Linked DNA regions of Drosophila melanogaster. The protein of the gene in region 3 purifies or fractionates together with the protein of the main gene of each other region. This does not show direct contact. Each region holds a gene or a part of one and is shown on either strand. Other genes may lie near its edges.

What was found. Proteins that work in one complex are often made in the same cells at the same time.
Region 1: the proteins of pAbp (region 3) and Paip2 purify together in Drosophila melanogaster (affinity purification with western blotting; 2 studies listed by BioGRID). This does not show direct contact.
Region 2: the proteins of pAbp (region 3) and Cnot4 purify together in Drosophila melanogaster (affinity purification with western blotting; one study listed by BioGRID). This does not show direct contact.

The regions. Positions count from the first base shown.
Region 1 is NT_033777.3:12,978,817-12,986,465, forward strand, and holds Paip2 (polyA-binding protein interacting protein 2), read left to right. Parts: upstream 1-2,229; 5' UTR 2,230-2,571; intron 2,572-4,918; 5' UTR 4,919-4,923; coding exon 4,924-5,067; intron 5,068-5,130; coding exon 5,131-5,231; intron 5,232-5,294; coding exon 5,295-5,424; 3' UTR 5,425-6,672; downstream 6,673-7,649. Other genes in the region: CG7091 (uncharacterized protein), read left to right, coding at 61-294, 353-661, 720-1,002, 1,139-1,380, 1,437-1,601; CG31342 (uncharacterized protein), read left to right, coding at 7,408-7,614.
Region 2 is NT_033779.5:10,394,211-10,403,192, forward strand, and holds the start of Cnot4 (CCR4-NOT transcription complex subunit 4), read left to right. Parts: upstream 1-2,505; 5' UTR 2,506-2,772; intron 2,773-2,968; exon of another isoform or gene 2,969-3,437; intron 3,438-3,790; exon of another isoform or gene 3,791-3,824; 5' UTR 3,825-3,904; coding exon 3,905-4,009; intron 4,010-4,068; coding exon 4,069-4,182; intron 4,183-4,233; coding exon 4,234-4,383; intron 4,384-4,443; coding exon 4,444-4,539; intron 4,540-5,106; coding exon 5,107-5,325; intron 5,326-5,384; coding exon 5,385-5,502; intron 5,503-5,557; coding exon 5,558-6,469; intron 6,470-6,524; coding exon 6,525-6,659; intron 6,660-6,752; coding exon 6,753-6,788; intron 6,789-6,866; coding exon 6,867-7,061; intron 7,062-7,123; coding exon 7,124-7,384; intron 7,385-7,451; coding exon 7,452-7,531; intron 7,532-7,593; coding exon 7,594-7,657; intron 7,658-7,715; coding exon 7,716-8,123; intron 8,124-8,196; coding exon 8,197-8,352; intron 8,353-8,420; coding exon 8,421-8,560; 3' UTR 8,561-8,982. Other genes in the region: Mdh1 (malate dehydrogenase 1), read right to left, coding at 1-734, 2,005-2,007.
Region 3 is NT_033778.4:18,137,577-18,146,687, reverse strand, and holds pAbp (poly(A) binding protein), read right to left. Parts: upstream 6,611-9,111; 5' UTR 6,356-6,610; intron 5,912-6,355; exon of another isoform or gene 5,734-5,911; intron 5,314-5,733; exon of another isoform or gene 5,272-5,313; intron 5,201-5,271; 5' UTR 5,182-5,200; coding exon 5,016-5,181; intron 3,887-5,015; exon of another isoform or gene 3,750-3,886; intron 3,689-3,749; exon of another isoform or gene 3,546-3,688; intron 3,510-3,545; exon of another isoform or gene 3,364-3,509; intron 3,276-3,363; coding exon 1,791-3,275; intron 1,722-1,790; coding exon 1,468-1,721; 3' UTR 1,414-1,467; intron 1,347-1,413; 3' UTR 453-1,346; downstream 1-452. Other genes in the region: Pcl (polycomblike), read right to left, coding at 7,452-7,847, 7,915-8,989, 9,045-9,111.

The DNA.
Region 1 (7,649 bases), on a different chromosome or scaffold from region 3:
TACAAGTTGTGAACCTATTAAATCCCCCCTTAATATTTCAGTTTAATTTAATTCTTGCAGTCGGGCGACTTACCATGGACCCGAAACCAGGAGCTGACCTTCCCAGGTGTCTACTACTATGGCTACGTGGTTTCCATCTCGCTATCCGGCTATCTGGCAGATCGGTGCAGCAGCAAGCGGCTGTTCATCGTGTCCCTGATCTTCGAGGCTGTGGCCTACATACTGCTCCCAGCAATGGCGCACTCTAGTTTCGAGGCCGGAGTGGTTGATCTGGTCATCTGTGGTTTACTGGCGGTAAGGAATAGCATCATTCAGATACTAATAGATATATATAGATCCTGCTACTTGACAGGGCTGTGGAAATCCGGCAATGTATAAACTGTTCGTGACCTGGGCTCATCCCACAGAGAGAACAGCGCTCCTGTCCTTCGCCTACAGTGGTCTTCTGATGGGCTCCATGTTGGTTTACCCGGTGGCCAGTTATCTGAGCAACTTCGGCTGGGAACTGTCCTTCTATGTAGTCGGTGGAGTTGGCCTCTCATTCGGCATTGCCTGCTGCTTTCTCGTTTACGACACCGTGGAGCAACATCCAAGGATATCGAATGAGGAGGTGGATTACCTGAGGCAGGGCAAGAGTCAATTGGGACAGCAGCGGCAGCCAGTGAGTAGTTCCTTGTACTTTTAACTTTAAAATTATAAATTAATTAGCTTCTTTTTAGGTGGTAACCATTCCCTGGAAGAGCCTGCTCGCCGCGCCGCCCGTCTACGCCTTCATCCTGACCCACATGTTCCACACCTACACCTTCCTGGTGATTGTGCAACTGATGCCGCGATTTATGCGCGAGGCCATGGAGTTCGATCTCCGCGAGGTGGGCTTCCTCTCGGCGGCGCCGTATCTGGGCGGGATCTGCTCGAAGGTGATGTGCATCCTGGGTGGCAGCTATGTGGAACGACGCGTGGGTCCTGACCAGAATTGTGTGCGAAGAATGCTGTACGGGATCTGTAAGGCATACCGATAATCGGAGTGCCACAGACATCTATAAAGAACACCTTCCCTTAGTGGATTCCTATATAGATTTCCGTAGCATCTCCAGAAACATCACCAATCTCTCTTTTATATCCCATTTTATAATACCAGGCAGCATCCTGACCACTTCTTTGATTGGGGTCATCATCCTGGCTAATTGTGATGACAAAATACTAGTACTTGTGATGTTTGCCTTCATGATGGCCACTACGGATATGGGTTTCAGTGGCTACTGGCCCACGCTGCTCTACTTTGCGCCCTCCTTCGCGGGATTGCTATCGGGATTGGCCAATGGAATGGCCCATCTTTCCGGATTCTTAGCTCCCCATCTTGTGGCCGCTCTGGTCCACACTGTAAGTTTAAATACAAGTAGTTTATGATTAAACTGATTTATTTATGTACCTCGCAGGGCAGCAAGGATGAGTGGAATGTGGTGTTGATGACGCTGATTGTCTTTAATACGATGGCCATGTTGGTATTTGCATTTTGCAGCAGTACGAACCTACAACCTTGGGATCCTCGTAGCAGAATGGAGAAAACTGCATCACCAAGTGCTCAGGAATCAAATAGTTAGCACTTATTTGTTTAAATGTTTTAACTTTTTTGTACTTTCGAAGCATTTTATTTGTTTACTATAAATGTAGAGTTAATTGTGTTAAAATAAAAACAAAATAAATGTAAATATACAATATACATATCAATTTAGTTTAAAATGATAATTGAACTTTCTTCAACGCAATCTTCAAATAAAATTTTTAAAAACCGCGCCTAGCACATAGTATCTTTCAATCTTATCGATAGTTTTACCGTTGTATAAAGCAAGCTGACAAATGTTTCACAACGACCAGTTTTCTACATTTCAAGTACAAAATTACACAAATATTCAATAATTCAAAAATATGTGTGAAAGCAGACATCTATTGGCAGTCAATGTACTAAATGCTCATATTCTTTACACGCCAATCGATAGCTGTTTGATTTGACGCATAGATTTGGTTTGAGTCCCGGCTGAGAACTGTAAGACGAAGAAATAGCTCATTTACCTACTTTAATGGTGCTAAATCGCATATATCACAATGCTTTAGGAAAAGTATTAATATTTCTAGAAAGCGTATGCTATAACTCTTTGTGCTATACTATATATAGGTGGAAAGACATCGATAGTCGCAGGGGAGTATCGATGCATCGATAGTGCCATCGATGTTTCTCCACCTTGCTTTATTAATCATTTCAATTTTTTTTCAATTCGGTTGCTTGACGTTCACTGACGTGATTCCGCACACAGCACATAGTCGAATACGTTTCGCAATAGAAATATCAAAATTCTCCGTGTGGACTCAATCTGGATTGGATGCAACACTAAATTACCAGTGTTTTCCTCGATTTTCTAGCGACGCAAAATTCTCAGTACAACCCAAAAAAAAAACGGAGAGTCTCTTCAACAACAAAATCAAGCATCATCGATAAAAACAACAAGTCTCCCGGAGGAAGTGGCTCCAAAATATCCAGTGCAACAGCGGACGAACTTCTCGGCAGGATTGAGAGTGAGTAGATCGGATTAAACAAATTAAATAATCCCAAACATTGTACATATGTATATACATTTATTTGTGCGCGGGGAAAGGCGGAAGTCAGAGAACTTGGCTTCCTGGTTTTTCATTTACCTTTTGGCGCTTCCGCCAAAACACTTAAACGTTCACTTAAAACCGCTTCTGGACAAATCAATAAAGGCCAAGTGTCGGATCGGACATTACCTTGGTGTTCCCTACTTACACTTGAAAAAATTTCGTTTAACATGGTAATAAAATTAATCAAGGCTATTTATTGCACATCACAAAGAAAGTTTATGACTTTATCAGTTAATTAACTACAATACAAGGGTATAAAAGTCAATTGCTTTTCAAAATGTCTCAATATAATAAAATTTAAAATCATTTCATATGCCTAACATATACATATACATATATCATCTTTCAAACCTACTAGTAGAAATTCGAATTTATAATTACCAAGTAAAGTGATTTATTGCCTTGAGTGTACTTCAAATAAAACATTAAATGCTAGAAGTCTACTTTTTTTCTTCCTGTGTACGTGTGCGTGGGCCAAGCTAGACTCCAAGTACACGAACCCCAAGAATATTAATGTTTAAACTTTAAACACTTGTTACCTTGAATGAAACAGTGCGCTGTATGTATTATCATTGCCGCTGCTGTTGTTGCTCTTTTTTTTGGGTTGAGGGAGGTTCATTCAATCGGGCACACCAACACCACTGCACTTGAGAGCCCATTTGTGTGTGTGTTTGTTGTTGCCTCCTTTGTGTTTTCTGCATATTCACTTTACATACTAAATGTATGCACGAATTTCGTCAAGTCCGCCGTGCAAATACATTTTAATTTTCGCAATTTCATTTAAAATATGGACGCTTAACTTAACATCTACTTGCAATTCGATGTGCTTCACTCGTGTGCGTGTGTGTGGCAGCACGTACACCAGTAAAGGGCCAGAGTTGCCATCCTAACTTCTTTTTTCCAAGCACTTTGTCTTGCTGATAAAAGCAGCTGATTTTTATAAATAAATAAGTAAAAGTTGGAAGACGCAAAAAATTCAATTTATTGATAGTGCGATTTGACCTACCAAAGGCAATAAAAATCTAGAATGGAGAGTAATCATTATCTTGTGTGGAATAAACATTCACGCAAAACTTGCCTATGTATGGAGAACTGTAAACAAATATTCGCACAGCCGCGGGTAACGAACTAGGCCCTCAATAAAAATAAATAACAAAATATATTATTTTCGATACAAACAATTCATAAAAAATGTCAAACATTTGCTCTTAAACTGACGTGCAATTATTAGTGCGCAAATATTGTAAGCAGAGTAAAAAAGAATGAAATTACGTGATTAAAATATTAATGTCCTAAAACTGTATTATAAAAATATGTACACAATCGAACGTTACAGGCACGTTCAACATGATAGCTAAGCCCACAAACTCCTCCGATGACAATCATCGCCTTTGGCTTATTGCGTTTTGCATAAATACCGCTCTTGACTTTCGTGTTATTTCACACGTTTGCTTGTTTGTTTTTAGCTGATAGCGGCATTTATATACGCCATAAAATGTTTAGCGGGGCTAGAAGTGATACGAGTTGTGAGCCTATACATTTCTAATCGGATGTAGTACTGAATTATAGACTACATTATATGTATATAGCATACAAGTATGTCCACTTATTTGGGGCTCTTTTCGCTTTTGCACCAAAAGCTGAGTCACTTTGTTTTCAAATTTTTGTGTGCCGCGGCCACAACGCAAAAAATAGACATCACTAAACAAAAAAACGTTGCGCAAAAAGAAAAGAGAAAATGTTCACTTATTTATATAAACAAATAGGTATTAGTGTTAGCCACTACACCTGTATAGGTGCGATTTTTGTTTTGTTTATCTCGTGGTAATGACGGAAAACCGGTTTCGTAGAACGAAAACACAACTGCTCCGGCTTCTTGCCGGTTAAATACGATTTGTTTAAATACAGAAGAGCCTGCCTAAGTCAAACGAAGCTAAAAAAAAATTCATTCAATTCATTCAGTAGCACAGCAGAAGAATTTGTATTTTCAATATTCGTTGGAGTAGGCTACAAGAAATATGTATGTTTGAGAACCTCAGAAAAACTCTGAAACTCCTGAGATTAAGTTGTAATTAAGCAATTTATAAATCAATCGAATGCCTTATATATAGACATATTTCCGTGGCACCTCAGATTCAAATGTTTAAATTGTATTTATTAATATAATATATTTCTCATAGTTTGAGCTTAATCGTTGAAATATTAAGAAATATGAGACCAACTGTTGATAAGTTCGCTTTTAGTAATCCAAAATCCCTTACAGCCAATATGTTGTTAAAAGTGCCATCTGTGGACTGGACGGATCAAATAATTTACGTAGTGGACGACGACGAGTCGCTGTCAGACATCGACGATGAGCCAGATTTTTCCGAATACATGTGGATGGAGAACGAGGAGGAGTTCGACAAGAACGTAAGATTAAATCTCCTATTTATGATTAACGAATTAACTAATACATTTGCTATCTGATAATAGGAACTGCAACGGCTGGAGGAGGAAGAGATTATGCAGGAGTGTTTTGAAGCCATGATAGAAGACGAGCTGGAGGAGCAGATCAACGAATGGGAGAAGGCCAAGTGAGTAGTGGCTATCCGGTTAACATTGCTGAATTAAAGCTAATTTGCAATCGCTTATTTCAGGACGGACGAGCAGAACACGGCACTTTCCGCACTACCCAAGAGCCAGTGTGATGTTGAAAAGTCTGTTCTGAATCCGATGGCTGATGAGTTTGTTCCGCGTTGTCATGTTATAGATTTCCCTGCCTCATAAAGCCAGCCCATATCTCCTGCCCGCCACAGAATCACAAACTACCCCGAACCCGTACCACGTGGACCTCATACGCGAAAAACCTTAGATAAACTGAAGACCCATTGCTAAGACTAGACTAACAGATTCCGCTAATGAGATTGATATTGATATTCTGACCAAGTTGAGCCAGATGGAGCATTGGGAGCAGTGGCTCATGAATATCTTATTTCTAGATACCAAAATGCTGGAAAAGAAAACTAAATATACCAACAAACTCCAAATGCTGGCGACCGAAATGCAAACGAATCATATTAAAAAAAAAACCTTATAAAAAACAACTGAACCACTGCAAAAATACAAAAAATATGTTTAAAAGAAAAACCAACAAAGAAACAAAAACACAACTTAAACTAAGAACAGACAAATAACAAAATAACAACTATGCCACGTACATTAGAGTACATTGAAATTAGAGTTAAAACCGAATTGTTTGCCGTGAAATTCGGAGCCCCAGAAATTCCGAACCTAAAATGTTATCGAGAAACGCAGACGCAGGCGCTTGCTGAAGCTAGTGAAAACTTTGGTATTAACGTACAAAACGAAAACAAATGACTTTTTACAAGCAACTAAATCTAAACTACAACTAAACTATGCCAATTTCCAGCTAAAGCAACTGTAAGCAACAAACAAGACTCGATTGTGTTAGAAACAAACCAAGAATTTGTAGCCGTCATGTCGTTAAATTGAAATTCTATTCAAAGACTTTAATCGTAGTTTAAATTGTAATTAATTTAACGTCCCGCCCACTGTCTACACTCGATTTAAGTTGATCATCTTTTTTTAATCTTTCACCATTGTTAACTCGTTGTACGTTCTATGCCCAAGTAACAAGAAGCGCTTGTTAACCTTCCCTACTGACTCGCAATATTTGTAATTTACCAATATAATCTAGTGAACTAAACGAATCGATATACTAATGTTTAACGCCTCTTTATACAAACATCATGCATAAATATGTATATCTAGTGTTAATGGAGGAGACAACAGACAACAACAACGCTGCAATAACAAGTAGTTTGTAATTTTAAGTATAAAATTCGTTTGATGCAAATGCACAAAGCCCTCATCGATTTGTTAATATCGTTAAAATTCGTTTCGGCATGTAGACAAAGATGAATTTCTATTTTTTCAATCAACTTAGATTTAGTGACTTAAGACAGCATTATAAGATCTACTACATTACTTACGTTACGTGTGATATAAAGATACAAAAAAACAAAGCAAAAAAAATATCAAAAATGATTTTAAAAATCTCAATAAAAAGAAGTATTATTATGGCATAAAAACTTGGTAGTTTTATTTTTTTTATATTTTTTTTCTTGCATAGATACTATGGAAAGTGAATCAGAAAGATAATCGAATTTACTGATCTTCATTTATTTTATTAGCATCTGAATTATTATATCATATTGGAAGAGCATGAAAATAATAAGATCTCTAAACATTAAAAATATTCTTTATCAAAATTTCATTGCACGCTTAATCATAACTTTTTACATACTTTTCATACGAATCTATTACTTTACACGAATAAATAAAGAATATATAGTATACGTAAGTTGTTGCGGAAAGGTTTTTGTAATTAAGCAATATAAAAGAAAAACATCCTAAAATCGGATAAATAATAAACAATGATTTGTAGTAATTGAAATTTGATAAAGTTTTTATTGCTTATAAAATGTTTTCAATTTCAAGAATACCGCTAATGCACTGCACTTTCGATAAGTTTTGTGTGGAACAATACCGATACCCATATCCAAATACCGATACCAAAAATGGCGTCGTGATTTCCCAGTTGATTTTCCCAGAAAATGCAGCATATTTCGTGGCCCAATAACGCATCAAGTGAAATGTGGGCTTAATTAGCGGAGAGCAACGAGCCCAAGGCATGCAAAAGAAGCCCATCCCAGTCAGGAAACCACACCGTAGTTTTGGGAAGCGGTCATGGCAGCGGCGGCGACGGCAGCACCTGCGACATCCAGCGGGAATGCCAGTGTACCTGCTCCACTGCCCGCGGCTGCCCCAGGCGGAGGAGGAGGCGCACCAGGTGCTGGTGGGGGTGGAGCAGGTGCCCAATTCCGGGAAATTCACAAGAACACATGGCTCAAACGGCTGACAGCGGATGGGAAACGACTGACCGTCGGGCCCAAGGTGGGTGGCACCGAAAGACTCCGCCTAGTGTCTGG
Region 2 (8,982 bases), on a different chromosome or scaffold from region 3:
GCCGACATGGCCGATGACATTTTGCGGGCCGCAATGACAGCGGCTCCACGCTTCTGAACGGTTTCCACGAAGGATCCCTGCAGGTAGCCATTATCGTTGATCGCATCCACCACGGACTTAACGGTACCATTGGCGGTCACCTTGGCCTGTCCAGCATCGGGATACTGGGTGGAGGAGTGGTTGCCCCAAATAATGATGTTCTTAACAGCAGAAATTGGCACACCCAATTTGGCGGCGATCTGGGATGTGGCGCGATTCTGATCCAGGCGAGTCATAGCCGAGAAATTTTCGCGCGGAATGGAAGGCGCATAGGAGGAGCAGACCAGGGCATTGGTATTGGCCGGGTTGCCCACAACCAGCACCTTGACGTCCTTCTTGGCGAACTTGTCCAGAGCCTGGCCCTGGGTCCTGAAGATCTTCACGTTGGCGGACAGCAGATCCTTTCGCTCCATTCCCTCCTTGCGGGGCATGGCGCCCACGAGGAAAGCGGCCGAGACATCCTTGAATCCAACAGCCGGGTCGGTGGTGGGCACCACCTCGACCAGCAGCGGCAGAGCGCAGTCGGCCAATTCCATGACCACGCCCTCGAGCACACCAACCATGGGCGGAATGTCGAGCAGGTGCAGCACGATGGGCTGATCCTTGCCGAACACCTCGCCGCGGGCAATCATGTACAGCAGGGAGTAGGCGATTTGGCCAGCGGCTCCGGTCACCACAACACGAATTGGTTCAGCCTGAAAATATATTCACTCGATTAGGAACATTCCTTTAAGTGTATTTCATCTTCCTTTTTCCATTTCTTTATGCATTTTCCGTATTTTATTTCAAGAATGTTCTTAGCTATGTTTAGATGCAGCTAAACTAATTATACTGTAATAAGGGGCGAATTTTTCATCCAGCCTTTGGCTTTGGATCTATATTTTATTTTTAGACGCTTAGCGGCGAGGAAATATATGCGAAAACTGCTAACTACACAAAATACTTCGTATATATCCAGCTCGCCATTTCCGAATTAAAACCCATTTAAGTGCAATTTCAGCAAAATTAATGCAAATATGATAGCTGAAAATAAACAAATGCGTGACCAGGTTTTTTGTTACTGTTTTGAAGTGTGTCTTTATCAGCTTGCATTTGTTGTTTACGATAGATAACGAATTTACTTTATACTTTATACTTTAGCTAGAACTCTTAAATTTCCTCTCCATTTATCTCTGAGCTGGCATTTTCAATAGTTATAGATTTAATAAAACATTTTATAAGTGATGTGCTTTGATTTTTGCTTGCTAGTGCATTTTCCGCCCATCCTCGTTACGCAATCCCAGTTAATCCTTTCCTAAGGGCACTAAAAGTAGGCCACTTGTGGCAATTGACCCCTATTTATGTTTTGCCCTAAAGAAAAGTCACAGGGCATAGTTTCCAGTAAAATGTAGCTAAAGACGGGAATTACTAAACATAACATATATTATATTTTTATATTATATATTTGTCATTGAAGAAGTTTTTAACTTCCAAACAATTGGAAGCGTAACCCCTGGGAGCATTTAGCATTTTTGATAAGATATGACAGATTTGAACTGCATGGACTTTGCTTCACCGCCTCCAATCATCCGGTTTATATAAGCTCTATCTGCTCCGGCAAGAGCTATTAAAACATGAAAACAACATTTTTATCGCCGTCAATTGGCAATTAGCTCGCATTTGCAATAAATTCATGCTTTTGGGGGCCTCTGAAAATGCAACATTTGTGCATACGTTCGAATTGACGTCACTAAGGTTTTTGGTTTTTAAGATTAGCATGAAGAGAGGTCAAATGAATGTTAAATTTCCAGAAAAATTATTGCGACCAATCACACATACCGTCATAACTACACATTATTGTGTACGGCACTTTGAATGCATATGTATGCATATTCTTCACATTTGATAATCAAATATGCAGATTATTAATAATAATTTGATGATATATACTATACGAGCGTAGCGAGAAATCGCCGGCAAGCTTACCATTTTAGAATTTCACAGGTGCAACGCTCCACGGACGAACTTCAAGTAAAAACGTAAATAGGGATCGCCAATTGGGAACCTGTTACTTTTCACAATTATTTTCCAGTCACTACTTTTTGAATAAAAGTAGCCGTGACTCCAACGCAATATGTTTTTGGCAAAATAATCGATTATGTTGCTCCTTACAAATTTACTAAATTTTTAAATAATACAAAGAGTTAAGGAGTTCTCTTATTGTTATTAATATTTACAGTTGCCAAAAAAAAGTAAATACATATATAAATAAATAAAACGATGATAAATGAAAAATTAATAGAAATATAGTTATTAAATTAGTTAATGTAAACAACAAAATTTTGCAGAAAAAGCATCAAATATCATATTTCTTTGCATTATTCTTGGTCACTTTGTTTACACATACAAAATTAGTACCTAGCTATATTTTCATATCTGAAATACGCAAATGCAGTCGTGTGAAGTGATTTTTTCGCTTGCTATTATCGATAGTTTGAGCTGTGGAAAAAAATCGAATGTTTCTTGTGGAAAAAATTGGAGTCTTTAATTTGGCGAATCCATTCGTTTACTTTGCGTTTATTTTTAGCCTTAGTACTTTCGTTTGATACGTTTGCTACCAAGTATTTATAAAAATTAAAAAGCGTTCAAAAACACAATTAACCATTGCAACGTCGTTTCATCAGCTATTCAGAGTGAATAAAGAAAACCTACATCACACCTACAATCATACGTGTTACGTGTACATACATATGTGTATGTATATATACTCTTGCTTATGTACATTAAACATTTGCCGTTTTCCTTTCCAACCAGCCTTTTGTTATTGTCTAAAAATCGATTTTCGTTACCCTTTTATACGAGTTCGTGATTTGCCATAATTAATAAACAATAAATCACAGCTGTGGTTTGGTAAATAAGTGCAGCGTGAACAATGTACGCTTATGTACATAAACACTCGCATATGTGTGCGTATATAGTGGATTAACAAATTGCTGATGTACACATATTAAGTGCTTTTACAATGCATACGCAAATATCGATGCAAATTCTAGTAATTTTGCTTAATACCCACACGTATTTGCATGTCGCCATACTCACACACATGTTCGGTTATTAAACTCTTGAAAATTGTACTTTCTTTTTGATTGTGTTTTAAAGAGAGCTTCCGTTTTAAATTTGAGAACTTATTGATGTACGCAGGTAGTGCGTATATTTCCGAGCTGGTTTGATTTTTGTTATGAAAAGGTATCCATATTTAAAAATACTTTTTGTGTTTGTTTGTCTGCGTTGTAGGCATATGCGTGTGTGTGTATATACACAATAAAATTACCTGACGGCAAACACCTTCTTCGGGTCGCATTAAATTGTCTTTTTTCAAAGGTTGCATAAAGTCAACAATACCACGAATACAATGGGCAGTATGTAAACAATTTTGCACAAATCGCAACTATCAAAAAAAGTGTTAAATATGGATATTAACTAAAGTGGTCAGCTACAGGTGCCAAATGTCCACAACTTGTTTTTCGTAGTGTGCAAAATAACGGGGTGATTCATCTAATAAAGATCGCATGCCTTCCTTTTTTTTAGGTGTTTTAGGTAGACAAAATCATATATGCATAGTTTAGAAGTACAAGACAAGGGAATATTCTTCTTATTTCAATGCAGGTTCATACCAATCTGATGAAAATCCATCCTACAAAAGCTATCCTTGAGATTTAAGAATCTACACACAAAACTTCATCCTAATCAAATATATATATATATATATATTATTTATACATATAAATTTTATTTACTTTCTACAGCTTGGTTCTCATCATTATCAACAATTTTATAAAAATTACAACTGCGAGTACTTCATCACTAATCAACAAATCACCTGAAAATGAACGGCCTGAGCAGCAATGATGATGCAGTCGAGTGCCCTTTGTGTATGGAGCCGCTTGAGGTGGACGATCTGACCTTCTTTCCGTGTACCTGCGGATATCAGGTACATACTGTCATTAAAGCACCCTTATCAGCAGCGTATTCAAGTGCTATTGCTTCCAGATTTGCCGATTCTGTTGGCATAGGATCCGCACGGATGAGAACAAGCTGTGTCCGGCATGCCGAAAGGAGTATCCCGAGAATCCAGCTGACTTCAAGCCGCTGTCGCAGGAGGAAGTATGTCGTGGTCACCTCGTATTCATTCCACTAACTTCTACTCTTCTTTAGATGATTGCCTTCAAGTCCCAGAAACGCCAAAGGGACCAACAACGAAAACAAAAGATCACCGAGAACCGCAAACACTTGGCCAACGTTCGCGTTGTCCAAAAGAACTTGGTGTTCGTTGTGGGGCTACCGCCACGACTTGCTGATGCAGACGTATGTTGATTTTGCGCCATAGATAACCGACAGCAAACCCACTCACAATTGCCATTTCAGATATTAAAGAAACACGAGTATTTCGGTAAATATGGGAAAATTCATAAAGTCGTTATAAATCCAAGTACCACGTATGCCGGGGTCCAGGTAAGAGTTGTAAGATTCAATTATTTATTACCTCTATACATTCATATGGCCCAATGGGCCAATACCCGAGTTGCTTAGTCATTTTTAGGTGGTTTCTATGAAAACTTTGATAATGGCACGTTTTCAATGAAACTGAACAGATTTACGTGTATCTACCAAAATTTATTTTCGATTAAAATGAATTTGAACCTTTTGTTGTTAGCTGCTCTGGTAAGCGAACATTGTTTATAACAAGAAGTTTAAGTTTATTTTTTAACCTTTTTTATTAATATATATATGTATTTTTTTATTTTAGGCAAAATTGTGTGCGAAATGCAAAAATTTCTTGTTAATTTATGATTAAATGGATCGGAATTTACGTTCTGTTTCCGTGCTTATGCTAAAAAAATCAACTTTTGACCAATTATGATAAGAGTCTATTTTAGAATAACCCCGATTATTGTATACAAATCAAAAAGCGTAACATTTGATAAACCTGCTTTCTATAAAACTGCGAGGGTATCAGAGTTTTCGGTCCACCGAATCGCGTTTCACACTCTGCCATCATTGCTTATTTAAATTTTTTCGATTTTAAAGGGTCCATCTGCTTCTGCGTATGTCACATATGTTAATAACTCGGATGCCTTGCGGGCCATTCAAAGCGTCAATAATATTATGATAGACGGTCGGCTTATAAAGACCAGCTTGGGGACAACCAAATACTGTAGCCACTTCATGAAGAACCAGCAGTGTCCCAAGGGCGACTGCATGTACTTACATGAATTGGGCGATCCCGAGGCCAGTTTCACAAAGGAGGTAAGTTGTGAGATAACTAAATTTGTCCGTATTTAAATGTTATGTCCGGATATTTAAAGGAAATGCATCAGGGAAAGCACCTGGAGTACGAGAAGCGCCTGCACGATACTCTAATTGCGTCATTGGGACCGAATGCAACAGGTATTGTAAATGGTAATGGAGCTTCTAAAGCAAATGGTAATTTCAGCCAAGCTACATACTAAATGACTTAATAATGTTTATACCCAATCAGTCGCGATTCCATCGTCATCGTCAGCGTCATCCTCGTCCTCTGGATCGGGTACAAATGGTTCAAGTGCATCAGGTAATGCCCAGCAAAAGGAGGCCTGGCCAAGCTTATCGGTCTCGCCCATCAATGGCAAAGAGGCGGCTGCCACTGCGACCAGTTCCAGTGGGAAAAGTAAACGGGAAAAGCTGCGCAACGAGAAGAGGCACGAGAAGAACAAGGCGAAGAATAAGAACGGCAGCAATACAAACGCCAATGCCTCGAACAAGGAGAACTATGTTCCCGAAACGAGAAGCAGCACAAGTACTGAGACATTCGCAGAGGCTACGGCGGATGCACCGGCTTCCACCAAGGCAGAACCGCCGCAAGCCTCTAGCAATAGAACGAGGGCGGATCGTGGAAAAGATCGGACCACGGCTAGTGCAAAGGAGCAGAAGAAGAGCAAGGAAGCTGCTCCAGCACCTGCAGCAAGTAAACCGGCGGAGCGGGTTGAAACAAGCGAGAGTACAATAAGACAAAAGAAGGCGGAAGTAACAGAAAGCTGTGAAGATAACTTACCACAAAAGAGATTAGCGGGAACAAACGTTCAAAGATCTGTGAGCTCTTGTAGCGAAAATAGCGAAGGACACGTCTCTGAGAGTAGCTTAAGTGAGAAGAGTTTAACTGGTGATTATGTGGAGGAAAAGTGCAATAGTGTGAATTCGGAAAGCCAGCAAGAAAGTGTAAAGTTTCAGGAGGAGCTCGAAAAGAGCAACGAGGCAATTGTCGAGGCCGAAACGATTCTGCCAACAGCTGAGTCCTCTGAGGACATCAGTCCCGCTGCAGTTGCGCCAGGCAATGGAGAAGTCGAAGGATGCTTACCCGTTGTTGATCCAGTCGAACCACCGAGTCTGGCGGATAATGGAAGCAGAGTAACAGGTATTGTACCTTATCCATTTAGTCCACCACACTTTGCTAACACTTTCCGTTGCAGATGCGCTATCTAAGCTGAACATTTTCGATGACACGCCTAGCTTTTTCACATCGCCATCATTCCAGCAAGCACCCATATTAAAGAATAAGCTAGATTTGGAAATGCGACAGTCTCATTTACCTGACTTGGTCAACGGTAAGTTACGAATCTTTGAAAATAAAGAGAATTCTTTAATTTATTTTTTCTCATTTTTCGGTACTGCTAAAAAATATCAACGGGCTTAAACAGACATTGATGGAATCCAAAAGGCATCCAATACAAACGGTAATGGTTTCATTATTAAAGCATGTATTTGAATTAACTCATATTTATTCTTAATTTATCCATCCTTTGCATAAACAGAGTGGGAGGAAGCCTTCAAAAATGTGATGATGGGCAACACGCAGCACATGGAGGAGCAACTGTTGCAGCAGCAACATTTGCAGCAGCATCAGAATTTGCGCCACCAGCTGGTGTTGCAACAGGAGGAGTTCCTTCGCATGCAAGAATTACAGAAACGCAACAACTTTGCGACGCAAATCAACGGTCCTGCGAATGGTAGGTGAATTCCTACTGTGGTGTACTGCAACTTTAATAATTGTGTAATTAATTCCTTTTAGATTTCCTTAGAGCTTATGAGCTCAGAGCTCAAGCCAATGCAATCATTCAGCAACAATTATTACAACAGCACGCAGGCGAAAATCTATTTGGCGGCAACATGTCGAAGTTCTTCGATTTCCATAAAAGTCAGCCGCAGTCACACCATCAGTATCTAAATGGACATCCGCCTCAAATCAATGGGAACGGTGCTGTGCCGGAGCCGCAAAGAGTGGCGGCCTCTTTGGAAAGCAATCGACTGAATTCGCCTTTTGTCGAAAATGGTGGGACATACTTTACAATGAAATTGCTGGCCAGCCCGCAATAATAATATTTACGTTGTTATCCTAGGACTTATTAACTCGCAGCAGCAGCAGCAGCAGCAGCAACAGCAACAAAAGCAGAGAATGATGGGAATGTATGAATTTATGGTAATGATTTCAAATGGATTTAAAAAGCAACATGCTAATATCATATTTGTTTCGATTTCCAGCCTCCAAACACGCAATCTCAGCAGAATCGGTTTACACAGAACTCGATAGTCGACGATGACTTAGGTAAGACCTTGTTTATATCTCACTTCAAAGCCTTTTCACTGATTCTGCTTGTTAAAAGGATTCGACCCGTTCGTTGAGACCCAAAAGGGACTTGCTGAACTTATGGAAAATGAGGTGGTCCAAAAACAGAGTATTAATAATGAGAACCCCTTGCCGAAGTTGCCGCCACAGCCTCAAGTTCCACCCCATCCGCAATTGGTGGACAACCTGCAGCGAGCTCGCATGCCGCCGCCAGGCTTCAATCACGTCAACACATTGGGCTTGGGCGGTGCATCCAGACTGCAGCTCACCAGCAAAATAATACCCTTCATGAACATGCCCGTCAATGGGGTGGGCAACAGCGGTGCCCAGGGACAGCACCAAATGCCAATGGGTGTCAACTGGAATGCGCCGATGGGCATGCACCAGAACCCGGGACAGCCCGTGGGTGATTCGCAATTGCAGCATCCAATGGCTCACAACAAGGGTAAGTAATTGAAATGATTACATTTTTTGGTACCGAGAAAACTGTTTAATCAAATTATTTGGATTCGCAACAGTTTACAACAACAGTGATTGGACTTCAATGGATCCGGCTATACTTTCGTTTAGACAGTATTCTTCTTTTCCACAAAACCAAATTCCCCCACATCCTCAGCAGCAACAGGATTTATTTTTGCAGCATTTGGCTCAACAGCAAAATTCCCAGAGTGGTGGTAAGTGGGGCAACCAAGAGTTTACATATCAACAGTCGATTAAAATGCATCGGATTGTGTACTTGCAGGTTTCAACAACCAGGCACAGCAAATGCTTCCTATGGGGATGCCCAATAGTTTGCTGAACGGACAACAAACGCAGCCGCCACAGGTCAATGCCAATGTTCAGGGCATGCTTGAGTTTTTAAAAAGCCGTCAATTCGTTTAGCTACAATACATATAAATAATACATTTGTTTACCTGTACTCTTTATTAAATATTTCTTAAAGTAAATATAGGCAAAATAAAATTCGAATATAATGAAACTACATGATACAAACAAACAGACGGTCCAGTGAAATTCAGCCTACTAAAAGCATTTGTGCAGCAAGCGAAACACTTGGATGCCGTCTCCCCGCGCCGGACGTGTCCGCATGAATCCAATTATAGTATCCAATAAACCCCGTTCAGGGTGTAGTCTGCTTGGCAATAGTGAAGCCCCCAGTGATTTTTCAAACTTGAAACCAACTCATTCCAATTGCTCGCTGGATAAAAGACAGATTACCATGGCAATAAGTAGCAAAGAAAACCTCGTGATGTGAAATTATCGAGACTGTGTAAAAATGTCAACTTTTTAATAATAAATACGTG
Region 3 (9,111 bases):
TTTTTATTTGTTTTTAGTTTTCGATTTGTTTAATAAAAAAATATGTATTTCACTGCCCAGAGCGAAAGCCATTTCTTACTTCCGCTTGCGTTAATATATCATTTTATGTATGTATGGTGTAAAAACATCATTTACTGGTAAAACTCTCGATATCCTTTGTAACAGAAATCGGAACGCAAATGAAATCGAGGCGACTTACCAGCTCCTTCTCATTAAATACATATATGTTCTTGCAAATGTTTATAAATGTATGCATGTTTTTCCTTCTCTCGGATAATAGTGTAATCATAAAAATCCTGTCTGCTTTTTTGTTGTTTATTAATATGCTTCATAAGTTGTTTACGCTTTAGCGCTTTTCATGTGTTTCTTGTATTTCTCATATATGTTGTGGTTGTTTAATATGTGTGTTGCTGTGTGTGTGTTTTTGTGTTTATATATATTATTTTTTTTTTGCTGTTTTTACATAGGTTTTGCCATTTTTTTGTAGTTTTTTCGATTTATGTTTTGTTTTCATTTGTCAACATATTTTTTCAGCTGTTGGTATTCTGTATTTTCTCTCTTTTTTCAAAGTAGCAAAAACTTGACTCTCATATTCTTGCGGTTTTCTTTTTCTTTCTTTCTTTCTATTCTTCTGTTCTCTGCACAGTTTGCTTTCCATTTTTTCGTTTTTATTTTAACTCTTTTGCAATTTTTTTGTTTTTTCTTTGCTTTTTTAAAAGTGTATGGTTGTCGCGTTTCTTTTTCTAAACAAAGCTTTCTTAAAGTTTGAATTTGAGAAAAAAGAATTGAAAAAAATTACATATCGCTTTCGTGTTTGTTGTTGTTTGAAAGTGTGGATGGAAAAAGTGTACGAAAAACTCAATATGTATGTAACACTAGAAACTTCTTTAAAATTTTTAAAACACAATTTCAATACTTGCAAGAAGCGGTTTACATGTATGCTTTGCTTTAATCTGTTTATTTTGCAATGGTTTTTTGGTGTTTTCATTATACGCATACAAAATAATATCGATCCAGTTAAAGCAATAACGAAATTTTTTTCATTTCACATTTTTCCGTTTTTTTTTTTAATTAACATGTTTATGTAAAAAAAAAGAATTTATAAGTGGACTGCAGAATTTGATTGCGTGACTTTCTTCTTTTGCTTCGTGTACTTGCGTAAATGCGTTCGAAATTAAATGATTGAAATTGCTTTTGTTGATGTTTCTGGGATTAGAAAAGAAAAAGCCGTAGATTTTTCGCTTTGTTTTTCTGTGTTAATTGTGTGTCCTTGGCAATCCTCCCCTGCGCAAAGCATCAGTGAATGCGAATTTTTGTTGTTCATGTATTGAAAGATTAGTGGAAAACTGCAAGGACAAAAGAGAGGCGAGTTTAGACAGCTTGAACTTTTCGGAAAATTTGTAGACTACTTACTTTTTGGGTGTAAAGTGTTCTTGTAAAATGTTCATACGCTTGAGCTGTTCGAGCTTAGTTGGCGGGCTCGGTGACGCGGTGCACCTGAAGCACGGCCACAGCCTCCTCCACCTTGGCCTTAAGGGCCTCCTGATCCTCGATCATGTGCAAGAGCTCAGAGTTTTCGATCTCCAACAACATGCCGGTGATCTTACCAGCCAAATTGGCGTGCATATGCTCAATCATCGGATACAGACGCTCGCCCAGGATCTGTTTCTGCTCCTGCGGCTTGGCGTTGGCCAGCAACGAGGCAATGAGCTTCTCAGAATCTGCAAGAAAAATAGCAATGGTGCCATTAGTGACAAATTGTGCATATTTTCAGTCGACCTAAAACTTACTCTTTCCTTGCAATTGCTGTGGAATTGGCTGGGTCTGATGCAACTGTGGCACTGGAGGATTGCGCATGTTTGAGGTGTACTTATAGTTGGAAGTACGCTGCTGGGCACCGCCAGCGATTTGGGCTCCGGGGATCTGCATGTTGGGTGCTGCAGTTTGCTGGCCAGTAATAGCGCGTGCTCCAGTGTTGCGCATGTTGTTAGCCGCAGCAGCGGCGGCATGTGTGCCCTGCACCTGAGGCTGTGCCCCGCGAGCGCCAGCAGCAGCCGAACGGAACTGAGTGGGCACCGCACCGGCTGTGCCCTGGAAGCCACCAGCAGCGGCAGCTCCGGCCTGGACACCCTGTATGGCTGCTGGGGGACGCACCTGGGGCACCCAGCGGGGTGTGTTTCTCATCTGAGTGGCCACCTGGGAACCGAAGAAACGCTGATTTGACGGAAGGGTCGGCACAAAGAAGCCGCTAGCCGCGTTGGGCTGGTAGATCTGTCCCAGCTGCTGCATACGCATGCCGGTCATGTGACGCATGTACTGCGAGGCGAGATGAGCCTTGCGCTCCTCCTTCCTTTGGGCCAAAGCAACGTACAACGGCTTACTGCCGACGACGCGACCGTTCAGCTCGGTGACGGCGCAGGTAGCCTCGCTTGCGGCATTGAAGCACACGAAGCCGAATCCCTTGGAGCGACCCTCCTCATCGGTCATGACCTTGGCCGATGTGATGTTGCCGTATGGAGAGAACGCGATGCGCAGACGATCGTCATCGATTGTGTCGTCCAGGTTCTTAACGTACAAGTTAACGCCGAACACAGACTCGTGACGCTTCTGCTTCAGTTCCTCGAACTTGCGCTTCAGCTCCTGCTGGCGTTCGGCCTTCTTCTGGGCACGAGCCACGTACAGGGACTTGCCCTCTCCCATGTCCTTGCCATTGAGAGCCTGAACGGCCGCCTCAGCAGCCTCTGTTGTCTCGAATGCAACGAATCCGAAGCCCTTGCTCTTGCCATCCTCCTTGGACATGACCTTGTAGCTGGTTATCTTGCCGTAGGGCTCAAAGAATTCCTTCAGTTTTTCATCGTCGAAATCCTCAGTGAAGTTCTTCACATATACATTGGTGAAGAGCTTAGCCTTCTCGCCCAGCTCCTTCTCGCGCTCCTTGCGCGGGATGAACTTACCCACGTAGACCTTCTTGCCGTTGAGCAACATGCCATTGACTTTGTCGATGGACGTGTTTGCGGCCTCCTCGGTCTCGAAGTGGACGAATCCATAGCCCTTTGAGTTGCCCTTTTCATCGGTGGCTACCTTGCAGCTTAAAATGTTGCCGAAGGCGGAGAAAGTGTCGTAGATTGCCTTGTTGTCGATGGCCCTATCTAAGTTCTTGATGAACACGTTGCCCACACCTGAGCGACGAAGAGAAGGATCACGCTGAGACCACATAATGCGAATGGGCTTGTTGCGAACCAGGTCAAAGTTCATGGTGTCCAAAGCACGCTCAGCTGTTGATGAAAATCGGGAAAACATTTGGTTACTACCGACACGATTTGGGTATATCAAGATCATTATAAGTTGAAGGGGCTTAAATAACAATGTGACTCTTCAACTTCTGCACTGGCCATGAGCAAAAGCAGCGCAGTGCATGGTAAGTCAAGTCTGATCTTTTATCTGGCAACTATGAATCTTAGTCGTGTCAAAAAGGGTTGAATCTGACCAACCAATGGGTAGGAGTTGCTAGATGTCTAAATACAAGGACAATCTTATCAGTCTAATCATGTGATACATTGAGTGTTTGTTATGCAGATGGTATGCAAAACCCATCAGCATGGTAAGTCGCATTGCTTTCTCTGGCAACTATGAATCTTAGTCGTGTCAAAATGGGTTAAATCTGACCAACCAATGGGTAGAAGTTGCTAGAAGCTTAGATAAGAAAGGGCATAATCCTTCGAGTCTAATCATATGATGTATTATTTAGTGTTTGTTATGCTTCTACTTCTGTGGATGGCATAGATCAGCCATCTACATGGTAAGTTGCATTGCTTTCTCTGGCAACATTGAATCTTAGTCGTGTCAAAAAGAGATAAATCTGACCAACCAATGGGTAGGAGTTGCGAGATATGAATCGAAAAAAGAAAAACATTTAGGGTGTTACTAGTCTAGAACGAGATGGTATCATTTTTGAAAGGTCTGTTTTTCCAACCTAACCTTAACAGCTAGAGTTCAAGAAACTTGCTGGAATGCGACAGACTTTCACACGCAGCGTAATCATCACCAACCGCCAGCTTTGTGCCATTGTGCGCTTAATTGAATAAACAAATGTAAGCGAACAACGGGAATCGAAGAAGCACCAACTATGCGCAGTGAAAGTTTTGTTTTCGTTTTTTGTAAAAACAAGATTTTGATGGTTAAAAGAGAGGCCGAAAAGCAGTTCACTGACATGTCAAGAATTTGGAAGTGTTGATGGATGGAATGCGGAGAGTATGGAAGATATGAGAAAGTGAAAGCAAAACAAAAGTTGGAGGCAGTACGAAAACTAAAGAGCGAACGTGCGGAAACTCAGTTAATGGAATATAACCTAAAATAGATGAAGGCCAAAAAGAAATGGTCCAAACAACAATGAACACATGTTTTTGCGCGTCGGCGTGTGCGTGCGCGCAAGTTTGCCGCTTGGAAACAACACACATCACACGAATAAAACGAGAAGAACGGGCAAGGAAACAATGAAACCACCAATGGGCGGGGCTGCGATAAGCAGTTTGGGCAGTATGGAACCATATTATTCCATCATAATTGCAATTTTGTGCGAAATTGAGACGGAAATTTCTAGGCGAACAGTTGATGAGTGCCACGAGCCAGCTGTTTAGCCCCCATCATCCCCCCGCACAAATCGTATACATCCAGAATAACTGGAACTGATATAATCATGTGTGTGTGTGTACACACTGGCGGGAATTGAGTGCGTGTGTGTGTGCGCGACGAGATTAACGTAAGCAGTGCACTGTGGAACAAGTTATGAAACACTTGGAAGCCGTTTATCTGGTCTCCTATGAAAGACATCTTTCAATAAAGTCCAGTTTGGACTTGCGTTTAGCCCCACTGTATGACATGCGCTAGTGTGCGTGCGTGTGTGAGTAAGCGAGTGCAAAACTGCACACGTGTTTTCTTTGTTTCGCGCGGAAGGGGGCTACTTTTGCGGGCAGTAAGACTAAAAAAATTACACTACTTTTGCGGGGATTACTCACCATCGGCTGGCTGCTGGAAGTTGACGTAGGCATAGCCCAACGAGCGACGGGTAATCACATCGCGGCAGACACGAATGGACAGCACTGGACCAGCAGACGAGAACTTGTCAAAAAGTCCCGATTCGTTGACGTCCTGTGGGAGATCACCGACGTATAGAGAAGCCATATTTGGTGATCAGGTCTACCTGCAATTTTTAACAATTAATTTCCACTTTTTTGACACTGAATTTTGGGTTTTTTCTTAATCTTTACGGACCGGATGGATTCGACCAGGCAGGCGGTGAAATAGAAAGAAAAAAAGCGGCGTGGCTTTCGGTCTTCTATTCGTCTCTCTGTCTGTGTGTCTGGGTGGCAACACTGGTACATGTGACAGTCGGTAGACATGGCAACGTTGGCATTTGCTTTGTTGTTGCTCTTTGCTCTCCCCTTTTATTTCTCTTCGTGTTGGAAAATTTCCACACAGACACAAAGATAGACACGCGTTTGCCTGATCGAATTTTGGGGAATTCTTTGATTTTCTCGAAAATATGCGACAACTAGTTCCTAGACCACTATTTTGCGGGCAATCTGGCGTTTATAGACGCCATCTTTGAGCGAAGAACGACCGCAAACAAAGCAAATTTCGATGGGAAAGGAAAATTTCCCTATTCGCTTTGTCGTGCGTTGCGCCCTCTCACTCTCTACACCATTGTAACCAATAGCTTTACACTGTACTTACTTCTCAAACACGCTCGATTTTTTTTGCTACTTTTTACAATTTTTTTTGTTACGTTTTTGTGTTTTAATATTTTTTTTTATTTTTTATATGTTTTTTCTTCACAAAAAATATGTGATAAGCCGTGTGCTGAAAGCGAATCCACGACCGCTCACGTAAACGGACTCTACACGACTCATAGAGAGGAGATTCGTTAGCGATGACCCCACAAAGTATCGATTAAATCCCACTGCACAATGCTGCCACATAGGGTTAGAGACAAATAAATGTCACTAAAAAATCCGTGAGGACAATTTACTAATTACGAAGCATTATTTTGAATTTCAAAAAAGCCAGCCATCACACATAAAAAATTTTTATATTTAGCTAATTCCCGAAACATGAAATACTTGTGCATTTTCAGGGGTTCTTTGGTAACTCTGCTTCATTTATGTTCTGATATTTTCGCCAATGTCCTTGAATACTTTGTCTCATAAAACACAATCCAAAATTAGGAATGCAGTTTTTTTTTCTTTTAAAAATGAGCGTAGACTTTTAGAAAATGATTTTTTGGCACTGCACAGATATTAGCGTATGCTCCGAAAACCGAATCCCATCTTTGTAATTCCCCACTGTGCGAACTTACCTAAATCAGAGAATAAAGCGATGAGGCTGCAAGTCGACACTCCGAGAAGTGCTTGAGTACTTCTTTTCGTTCTCGATGGAAATCGGCACTACAGAGATTGAAGAATTTTTTAAGTTTTTTTTTTGTGTTTTTGTTTTTACGAAATAGACCACATTCAAGGATGGCTGAGGATAATTTTTTTTTTCTTTTTCCCGTTTTGAACGTCTGGTGCATGTGCCCTATCTGGCGATCGAGTACCTAATGAAGCGGTGTGAGGCGTCGGTGCCTGACAAGCTTCAAAGCGAAGTGTCACTTTGGGCGCCTACTGGCGTGTCCTGAGTAAAATCTTAAAAGATTTGACATTTCGGAAACATTTATTTGGGCATTATATACTTCATTAAACATATTTCGATCTGGTTTGGCCAAACATTTACTTGGCTTGAGAATTAGTTTGCTTTCAACTCAATTTTGATTTTTCGTAGCATTTAATAGTTAAACATAAAACGTACTGGCTTAATTCATTATTGTGTAGTTTTGCCTAGACTATGGGTGAAAATTATTGAACTAGTCCTACATTTTATTAAATTTGTGTGTATGTATGTATATCAATTGTTTTTTTTTTGTATGCATGACATGATTTGTGAGTTTTCCCATTTGAAGGTATATTTTTCAAAAACATACATGGGCGTGGCGTATCGCTAAAGTACAGTACTGAACTTAACTGAATTGTTCTCATTATTTAATACGTTTTCATTCATCAGCGAATTTTACATAGGCTTCCAGATTAATCTTGTAATACTTTTACCAATTTTGTGAAAACTTATTTATGTTCTGCTGCAACACTTAACTGCCATTGCACAATTATAACCTGTATTCAGTTGCTTTTTGCTTTTTTTTCGTTTTTTTTTTTTACAATTTAACATTTTATCGCTTTAATGCTGAACCAATATTTTGAACAATCTTTTTCTATTTTGGCAGTGGGTTGGTAATAAACTTTTAAACATTAACAAATAAAGAGGCCCGTAGTTGGCAGCGTTCATTAATACATAATAACGAAAAGAAATGATAATGGAAATGAAGAATATAAAATTCATAATGAGTCGGTATGCCAAAGGGTTCAATTTCCAAGCAATCCAATCGCCGTTGTCGCTGTATCTCCGCCCCACTCCACCAGGTACTGGACCTGTCCATTTCCCATGCGCCGCTTGGCCCGAATGGCAAAGGGCTCACCAGCATCTATGCGATTCATAGCGCCACCAAAGTACTTGTTCACCGACTGCTTCAAGTCCAGCATGGAATGTCCTGGGGCTCCAATGCCGTTGCTGCTGCTGCTGGTTGCCGTCGAGCTGGTGGAGTTCCGGCGGCTTTGGCTGGGTGACTGCTTCTGTGGTCGCTGGCGCAACAGGCGCCCATGTGTCGGCTTTCCCATTGGCGGCGCGGGTGGCTGCAGATCTTTGGCATAGATAGGAAGGTAGTGGCTGGGTATGGGATTGATGGTGGTGGTGCTGATGACCTATTAAGTGGAAACGAAAAAAACATCTCAAACATTATAGTTACATTGTTGTTAGTTAAACTCTTACCTCAATGGCCGTGGTCAGGCGGCGAGTGCGTCGTCTGCGCACTTCCTGATTGGGCCCTATCGTAATGTCTTTGGCACTCAGTCTTCGCTTGATGGTGCGCACCATGCGCGGCTGCTCCTTGGAGGTGCCCTTAAGCTTGAAAATGCTGTTTATGATGCCATTTACTCCGACTCCAGTTCCCACAGAAATACTTCGTCCCTGCGACGCCTTTTTGGGAGTGGCCATAAGGAATGGATTGTTGCGTCCCAAAAAGTTGACCGGCGGTGGTATGATGAGGTCCAACGAACTGGTTCCCCGACTGCTGCTTGAATTCTCGTCGGATGATAGATCACAGTGATTGCGGCTGTTGTCATAGCGTTTGGACAATCGGAAAGCCTTGCGCTTCCGACTGCTGTTTGCGTCCAGCAGAGGTGGAATGGGAGCTGGTAGTTTGCCGGGATCGCCATCGTTGGCATTGTCGTCGGCGAGGTCCGGCTTCAGTGGCAACTCATCATGCTTATCGGCCTTCTGAGCGGCCTGCTTTTTGGCCTTCTCAATAATCTGTTTGATGGGTATTTCGTCCTCGCTGGTCTCGACTGGGTCATCTTCATCTGTATTAAACTCATACACATCTTTGGGAACTCTTTTCGGAAGCTCGTTGGCACCTTCATCAGGCTCCTCGGGCATGAGCATTAGTTTAAATCTTTTTTCGAGCAGCTCATCGGACAGCTCCTCGTGGGGCTCAAGGAATACCTTGGGAATGTGTGGCGGGCCACTGTGTCTCAGTGCATAGAAGGCCGGAGCCCTTTTAAACTCCCTGCCGCAAACAAATCTGTCAGAGTAATCCTTAAGGGTTTGCTTGAGACGCTCCATCAGTGCCGTTTCGGGCAGTGTGCGCCACTTCTCGCAGATAGGCAGCTGGTGGCGCTGCTCGAGTATGAAGGGCCAAATGTCATTTAGCAGGTGATGGTACTTCTGGTGCTGATGCTTTCGCAGATTGTATAGTGCAATGTGGAGCACATCCACCCATTCGATTTGCATACGACGAACGAATTCTATGCCATTGTTGCAGACCGTGCAGCAGAAAACAAAGAACCTAGACAATGAGATTCATTTCAGTTTAGATCACAGTAAAGCAATTGAATACGTACATATCGCCGCGCAGCAGCTTCTTCTTGAAGTTCTGCATGCATTGGGTGTGGAACCAGTTCCGACATT